2 linked regions of the Zea mays genome follow. The protein of the gene in region 1 binds, or shares a complex with, the protein of each later gene. Links are inferred from orthologs where the notes say so. Each region holds a gene or a part of one and is shown on either strand. Other genes may lie near its edges.

The links.
Region 2: mediator of RNA polymerase II transcription subunit 8 (region 1) and Mediator of RNA polymerase II transcription subunit 31 share a complex: the UniProt entries of both Arabidopsis thaliana proteins name them as parts of the mediator complex. The link is inferred for Zea mays from reciprocal best matches to the Arabidopsis thaliana genes MED8 and MED31.

Annotation. Positions count from the first base shown.
Region 1 is NC_050102.1:151,800,844-151,805,359, forward strand, and holds the start of mediator of RNA polymerase II transcription subunit 8, read right to left. Parts: upstream 3,005-4,516; 5' UTR 2,871-3,004; coding exon 2,632-2,870; intron 2,479-2,631; coding exon 2,354-2,478; intron 1,372-2,353; coding exon 1,247-1,371; intron 1,145-1,246; coding exon 961-1,144; intron 829-960; coding exon 724-828; intron 407-723; coding exon 339-406; intron 102-338; coding exon 1-101. UniProt on the Arabidopsis thaliana protein: Component of the Mediator complex, a coactivator involved in the regulated transcription of nearly all RNA polymerase II-dependent genes.
Region 2 is NC_050096.1:207,962,116-207,966,294, forward strand, and holds the start of Mediator of RNA polymerase II transcription subunit 31, read left to right. Parts: upstream 1-1,379; 5' UTR 1,380-1,454; intron 1,455-1,577; 5' UTR 1,578-1,609; coding exon 1,610-1,739; intron 1,740-2,217; coding exon 2,218-2,314; intron 2,315-2,390; coding exon 2,391-2,469; intron 2,470-4,179. UniProt on the Arabidopsis thaliana protein: Component of the Mediator complex, a coactivator involved in the regulated transcription of nearly all RNA polymerase II-dependent genes.

The sequences.
Region 1 (4,516 bases):
TTAGCATATGGCATTGGAGGAGTGGACACATTCTCGAAATTAGGGGTTCCTGTGGTTCCAGGTGATGGCGCAGGCCTTCCAAGTAACTGTCCTCCGGATGCCTGCAAGTAGTAAGAAGGCAACAAATTTGAAACTGAAACAGAAATATCAAACATTTATCTGAGTTTTGTTATTGCCATTCCCTATGATATATAATAGCTATCCTATCAACACCATGGGAAGATGACTGATGTCATAAAAACAGAATGAACCAAAGAGGTTTTCAATTCAAAAGAGTGATAACAATAGAAGATAGACCCTTTCTAATATCATAATAATAACTCAGTTATAACAGAAACCTGAATCTGATTTCCCTGGCTGTTGACACTATTAGGTGCAAATGTTGACATATTTTTGGGATAACTACCTGCAAATACAAATAGAAATTAGATGTGCATTTGTCAAATACATCTCCAATGCAAATGCCAAAGAGTTAAGCATACAAGGAACTTCTACGGCACAAATCTCCCATTAATATGGCAAATGTTAAACATATAAGGAACTTTTACAGCACATATCTCAATGCAAATGGTCGTGATTTTAGCAATTGAGGATAAACACTAATCCTAGCACAATAGGAGTTCGGTCTATAGCGCATGAAAATGAGACAATCGACAGATGTTAAAACTCAAAACGAGGAGAGGTTCATTAAGAGAGTTTAGATACACAAGAAAATCTACATACCAGAACTATCACCAAAATTTTGTGCACCGTCTCCTAAAGGAAGCACTTCTATCAGATGGATAGGAAGAGATTGTGGATGCCTCTGATCTCCAGGTACCCGTAATCCTGGCATTCAGATAATTTTAGTAAGGCTATAAGTATTGAAATTGTAACACAAAATAGAAGTAAAAAGGACTCTTTATTTTGGAAATCTAATTGCATTTTTTATTAATATTGACCAAGCACTATGCCTTTCACCTTCACCATAATTTACTGCTGCTCTAAGTAGGCCTTCCTGCTCCTGTATCTTTGCAGCTTGTGCTTTGTCCAATGTAGGACCAAGATTTGTCCCCTGACGGCTTCCCAGCCCATAGCTCTTACGGCATTCTGCAATTACTTTCTCAGCAGTTTCGCATGCACTCCCAATCATGTCTATTCTAACCTGAAAGGGATGGTACCAGGTTCATTCTAATTAATAGATAGCCGATAAATCAAGCTAGCAACACATGCTATAGGTTTTCATTTTTCATACTAAATTGGTCACCTTTAATTTTTCAATCTGTGTAGGCACAGGTAGATTAGTTATTCCAGACAATAGTTGCTCTCTCTTAGTAGTTTCCTCAACTTCCATCTCAGGCAGCAGTTTTGACGACAGCATTACAGGTAGTACTGCAATATTCATAAGGATTATACTGCAACTCTAATAATAAATAACTGTACAAACCATTGATAGTATGCAAAATGGGAACACTAGATGACAATGCATCAGAACAATTAGAATGACCATTTCCAATACATTTTTGTTGGGTCATTTGCACTGTGTTTATTTATCTCAGAATAGCTTGCCATGAAATTAAGGCCATGGCTAGTAGAAAACTTCAAAAGTCTGAAACCTAATTCAGAATTTTGATTAGTGGACAACTGGAAATAAACATCAGTTGACAGTAAGAAAAATCTTAGATTGAATCTTCATGTGTAATAAAACTTGTGAGAAGACCCCAAAGAAACGGCACAGCAAAGTATTAGCCCAACTGGTCATACTTGTAGTCATCATTCATCCTTACTTTAGAAACAAAATCATAGGGTTTTTTTCTAAAAATATATGGAAGCATAAATGAATCGTATAATCTCATCATGTGTTGAAAATCATAATCTCATTAGGTGTTCACCAATACTGGACCATGAACAACGAAAGACTATTTAGTGTTGGGTCAAATAAGGGAAAATGTTTGATGGATTCCTTTGGACTCAATACAGTTGGTTACATAGCAAAACTTCAACACATAAACTGAGCAAATTTTCATATCAGATAATTTCTTCCCAAATTACATGCTTCCATTGATAATCTTTCAGAGAGGTTGTTGTTCATGTCTTGATTGAACCAACCAAACTTTTACAAACAAGGGCAAAGAACTCTTAATGTCTTTGGAAATTGTTGTCCCTGAACTGGAGATGATTTATTTCATGACTGAATCAGTAAACCATGCAACTAGAACATAACCAACAGATGTTAAACTCCCCTATGTTAGATCAACTAAATATTAATTATGATTTCTAAGAAAACAAATACCATTACGTGATAACCAAATTGACACAGATAACAAAAGATATATGCATATCCATAAAGGGGAAAAAACTCAGAACGGCATACTTGTTGCATTCTCGGCATTGACATTCCGGGGGTACACGACAAACACCTTGGACACATTCTTAATGTCCTCCACAATGTTGAAGAGCTCCATGCTCACCATCGAGAACTGCCCGAGCACGTCCTGCCTGCAATTCACCCAGAGGCAGCCATACCATACCAGTAAGCAATCGCGCAGCGACGCCACACGAGCAGAGGCATCCTAATTAAACCCTAGAATCCACTGCTGCCAGCCATCAGCCGATAGCCAATAAGAGGGGCGGGGCTGGGGATGAAGTTACCACTTGGGGGAGGCGCTGGGATTGGTGCGTATGATGACGTCAAAGTCCTCGAGGATGCGGGAGATGGCCTTGTACAGCCCCACCGCGCGCGCGCGCATCCCCTCCAGGTTCAACTGCTGCTGCACCCCCGCGCTGAGCCGCTCAACCCGGGGAGCTGCCTGCTGGTCCCCTGCGGCTGCGCCCGGAGGTGGCGCGCCAGCGGCGGGTACTGCACCTAGCGCGGCCGCCGCGGGGTCCATCGCCGGAAACTTGCGTTGGGGGCGGTGGCGTTGCGGCGGAATGAAAGGGGGTGGCCGGAGGCGGACTAATGGAGGATGTTTTCAGATCGTTATGGCGGTACCACCAGTTTGCGTGTCTGGCTCAGACTGACATGTGAGGGCCGGGGGACAGTCAAGTCAATTCTCTGCACTCGACAAAACATGTGTCCAGAATCCAAAAGTTCATAATGCAGAGTTCAAAATTTGGAGAAGTCCTAACAAAATGTATACCTAGATGAGATGAGCATACAGAGTCGTCATATATTAAACTATTTTTTATTTAACTAAACTTAGAGTTAATATACTTATACAAAAAGAGACGGTGGTATTTACACCATTAAATTGGTATCACTAAATATGTGTTTTTTGTGTCATCCTCACGAGTATACTGCCTGCAGCATGCTTCAAACTTTACAGAATTTGATGGCACGTACGCCTCCTAGTTCACACAGAGGAGCTGGGGCTAATTAAAGCCAACCTACAAGCAAACGGACTTTACAATGATAGTGTAGCCGATGCCTGATGATGCTAAGTTTGTTTAGCAGTTTAACAGGTATAGATGTCTATATTGGCCGGACAGCCAAATTTATCCGAAGCCTGGTACCAACCCGGCACGGCTCGCTGCGCATCGAGCTCGGGACAGCCCGGCACGGTGGACGTGTCGTGCTTGGGCTTTGAGGCCGGCACGTCGTGCTCGGCCCGACCCAGCACGAAAATGAGCCAGACACGGCGTCTGTCCGTTCCACGCCGCATAACACACATCGGCCCTGCCCCATGACGCACCCCCCCGGCATTCGCTCGCTCGAAACCCTAAACCTAATCCCCTCCCCTTCTCCCGTGGCTCCTACCTCTTGCTCCTTGGTGACCGACGAAATCTCGCCTCTCCCGCCGACGGCTACTGGTGACGGCTACCAGCGACGGCTTGTTTGGACATCTATACTCTCCTCATCTCTTCGCTCATCATCTTCCCTTCCTCACACCCGAATCCCAATAGAGTAATCCCCATCCTCGGCTCCTGACATCCTCTTAGCAGAGGTGTTCCTCCTCGCGGTGGTGCTCTCAAGGCGACTAAGGTGCTCCGGCTGCGCAGGTTATGTCCTGAACCCTAATCTCCATCCCCTTCTCTTGTGTATTAGATCTTGATTGGAATCCCATGGATGTGATGAATCTCCTAGGTATCGCTTGTGTCGGTGCCACGTAGCTGTCCAGGGACCCCAGTCGTCGGCGAGGAGCCATCTGTCTACGGCATGGACGATGACCTTCATCCGACCGTTGTGGACGAGGAGCACCGGCTAGAATATCATAACAAAGCAGAGGATGCCCGGATCCTATTTGGCAGTAGTGTTGCCATCAACATCGATAATGATGATGATGTCCCTGGTGCCGCCACCGGTGGTCAAGCGGGCACAGGATCCACGAGCCCGACACCGACCGGCACAAGCACCGCCGCCACCAGTTCCAGTAAGTGTCCTCTCAGATCTAAAGTGTGGCATGACTTTGATGAACCGACTCACCTTGTCAATGGTAAGATGGTATGGTATGGAGCCATTTGTAAGTACTGCAAGGTGACTTTAAGTGGTAAATCTAGTTCTGGAACTGGTCACTTGCTTCGTCATAATTGCTTAGCT
Region 2 (4,179 bases), on another chromosome or scaffold:
CTGCCGACGACCTCCGCCTCGCCCGACCCCGGGGCTCGGACTCGGCCTCGGCCATGGAAGACAGACTCGACCCCGGCTTCGGAGGAGCCTCCACGTCGCCCGACCTAGGGCACATGCCCGCCACGTCAACAGGAAGCGCCATCATCACCCTACCCTGAGCCGACTCGGGCCGCAGAGAACAAGACCGGTGTCCCATCTGGCTAGCTCTGCCAGATAGGCAATGATGGCGCCCCGCTAGCCCTGTGACGACGGCGGCTCTCAGCTCCCTTACGGAAGCAGGGGAACGTCAGCAAGGACCCAACCGCTCCGACAGCTGTCCCTCCGCCAGGCTCCGTCGCTCCTCCGACAGCCACGACACCACACCAGCTGGGTGCCAAGATCTCTCCGGCTGCCACATCGGCATGTACTTAGGGCGCTAGCTCTCCCCCGCTAGACACGTAGCACTCTGCTACACCCCCATTGTACACATAGATCCTCTCCTTACGCCTATAAAAGGAAGGACCAGAGCCTTCTTAGAAAAGGTTGGCCGCGCGGGGACGAGGACGGGACAGGCGCTCTCTTGGGGCCGCTCGCTTCCCTCACCCGCGTGGACGCTTGTAACCCCCTACTGCAAGCGCACCCGACCTGGGCGCGGGACGAACACGAAGGCCGCGGGATTTCCACCTTTCTCACGCCCGTCTCCGGCCACCTCGCTTCCCCTCTTCGCGCTCGCCCACGCGCTCGACCCATCTGGGCTGGGGCACGCGGCACACTCACTCGTCGGCTTAGGGACCCCCCGGTCTCGAGACGCCGACAGATGTCCTAGAGGTTGACAATGGAGCGCGAGCATATCTACCGAGTAGGGCGCTTTGTGATGATCGATAATAGATAGATCTACAAGAGGGATTTATAGTTGGGTTAGTTTGACTATAGCAAAATAAGTCTTATCCCCTCTCTATTTTATTAGACGAGAAACGGGGGAGAAATAAATCTACGTACGTGATCCACGACACGCGAAGATATTTGGATTGAGTTAGATTAAAAAAAAAATACTTCTTTTTTATCAGAGACGATGTGAAAACTTAAAAACCAGTGCTTTACGTAGCAGAGAGTGCTTCAGAGAAGAGAAGAGAGAGTGACTATATTATTTTTAGGAAATAATACTCCCTTGATTTTTTTATTTGTCGTCGAACAAGTCAAAAATGAATTGGTGAGCGTCATATATAAAAAACTAGAGGTAGTATAATTTTAAAAAGGATTAATAAAAGTAAAAAAATTCCAACCGCACACGGCACCTCCTCTCGTCCGTTCGCCGCCTGGCTCGCACCGCTGACAGTGCGTCAGTCCAGGTCGATACTCCCTCTTTCCAAGATCCGGTCATTCTCTCTCGGGGTCGGCTACCGCCGCCGCCGTACGCCAGGTGCCGACTGCCGAGACCTTCTCCGATCTGTTTGCCGGCGAAGAGCGCCCGCCAAGTATTCCCACCCTCTTCTCTTCCCTAGTTCCCTGTCTGCTGTGCGAAATCGAGTTCTCAAAACTCTAACCTCAGACTATTTGATTAATGTGTGTACACATGTACACCCTTGTTCCTTTAATAGATCTGCCCCTGGTTTCAACCGATTGAACCCCGATGTCCGACGTCGAGAACCCTGGCGTGGGTGGGAAGCCGCCGCCGTACAAGGACCCTGACAATGGGAGTCAGCGATTCCTACTCGAGTTGGAGTTCGTGCAGTGCCTCGCCAACCCTACCTACATCCACTGTACTGTACTGTCCTCCATTCTCTTGTTTCATCTCACCTTGTTGGGATTAGCTAATCTGATGTTGCACGCATCTATAGAACGTTTTCCTGTACCGGTTTGTTACCAATTTTGATAGGGGCTGTGCTGCTAGTAACTAGCAATCCATTGCAACGGACTGAAAATTTTTGTAGAAGTGTGTGTTTGTCAGTAAGTCCCTGCTTGAGAAGGGAGCTAGGAGTGCTTAGGAATTTTTAGTACTAGCCTAAATCCCATTCTCCCCTATTCAAACTGGTCTCGTCTGCATGGGCCTCATGAGCGGTTTCTTATCAATAGGATATGATTGCTAAGCTAAGGCTGTGATATTGTTAGTAGTGTTGCTTGATATCATCATTTTGTGTGCCTCATGGCTCCTTGTTTTTTACTTGAACTTTCTTGTTCAATGCACATCATGTTTGGTACTGCATGGATGATTTGAATGCTCTTTCTTTTCCCAAATAGATCTAGCGCAGAATAGATATTTCGAGGATGAGGCATTTATCGGGTACCTCAAGTATCTAAAATACTGGCAGCGACCAGAGTATATCAAATACATAATGTGAGTGATACCATATTCAGTGGTTTTTTCTGCAACAGAGGAAATGGCTTGCTCATTGTTTTTGCTGATGATGCAGGTATCCACACTGCCTTTTCTTTCTTGAGCTTCTCCAAAATGCCAATTTCCGAAATGCAATGGCACATCCAACAAACAAGGTGATCTTTTGGCCTAGAATCACACGTTCACACTTGAGCACCGTTTTTAGCTTTTGTTTACCGTCTTGCAGTGTCATCCCTTCTTTCAAAACCTAGCTGAAGTTGCTCTGTTGGGCCATATTATTTTGACTTGCTTTCTAGAACCTATAAAAAACAGAAAGTCACACAAACTTGATATGAGTACTTTTGTAGAACTATGCAGCACGTATACTGATACATGTATCGGTATCACAAGGATACTGATACACAGATACAGCAATTTCCTAAAAATTCCCATTCATGAATACATTTTACTATTTTTTAAATAAAAGGATAATAATGCATATTAAAATGGATAGCAATCTAACAATGAAACACCACAATCTACTTAACTATTTAAGTTCTAATTAAAGCACAGCAGGTCTCAATTCTCAAATACAGTAGTCTCAAATTTAAGAAATTAATAAAAGGCATTCAGGTTTGCAATTCAGGCTCGCACCAAGTTCCTATTCCGCATTTGTCTTGCTTGTTTCATTCTCATCCACAACATTAAGCTGGAGATCACCCAAACCAAAAGACACAGCTTGCAATTCAGGCCCATCAAGGGAGAGGTCAGGCACTTCAAGGATGCCAATACCACCAAGTGAATAAAAAAATCTCCTCCCACATCCCACATCATTGTCTCTCCTGTCTTATATGCATCAGTTCTTTTTGGCAGACAAAGACCAAATCTTCAACATGCTCTGAGTTATGGCATTTCTCTTGACACTATGGATAAAGCTATAGATGAGGCTGGTTGGCTAAGCAATTTGGTGGCCAAATTCATCAATAAGGGAATAGGCTGTCCATGAGTTGTCCACAAAGTCATAGGGGAAACAGCCAATCTATCATAGATTGAGTCAGGATCATTAGATTCTTTTGAACAACTAGAGAACCTTGAGTACTCTTCTTTTACTTTATTCAATTTTTCCAGCACGCGAAAGAACTTGAAGCAATTCATCCTCATCTTTTTATATCTCTTTATTCTTGTGGGGTGGTTCATGGCTAGGAACGGGAATGGGTCGGGTCGACCCATTGGGTAGTCGACCTGACCCACAAAAGTAAGGCCAATAGGTCAAACGTCAAAGGGCCGCTTCAAAGTTTAAATTGGCTGATAGGGCCAGAACCTGTTGACCCAATGGGTAATGTAGGTCTACCCACTAGTTGCATAACAATATTTTTCTTGAATTTGTTGGTCTTCGTTATTTTTTGTTTCAAATAAACACGATTAGTCATAACTTATAGACACGTCTATGCTTGGAAGTATGTCGAGGAATATCTGGAAGTATAAATAGTTAAAATACAAAATTGCATTATTAATACTTTGTGCATCGCAGATCATAACCAAAATTCTAAAAAGTGTTAAGCCATTCATGATAACTAGGTTTGAACCATGCATGACTCCCAGCAGAATTTTAGAGTTTTGAACTATGACTAAAATATCATTTTGGACTATGACCAATGTTTCAACCATGCATGCATGCACATACAGGGAGCAACAGCCATTAGTTGGATCTGGCTATGGTGCCCAGCAGTAGCCCTCAGCCCACTCTTGTTTGCAACTGCAAGTAGGCTGAGGGAGCCGCCACTTGGCCACTTGCATTATTTGCACCGGCTAGTTACCTGGTCCGGAACCTTGTGCCCAGCTGCGTTAGTGTCCTGGCGGCCAGGCCAAACCAACCAAGCTGCAGG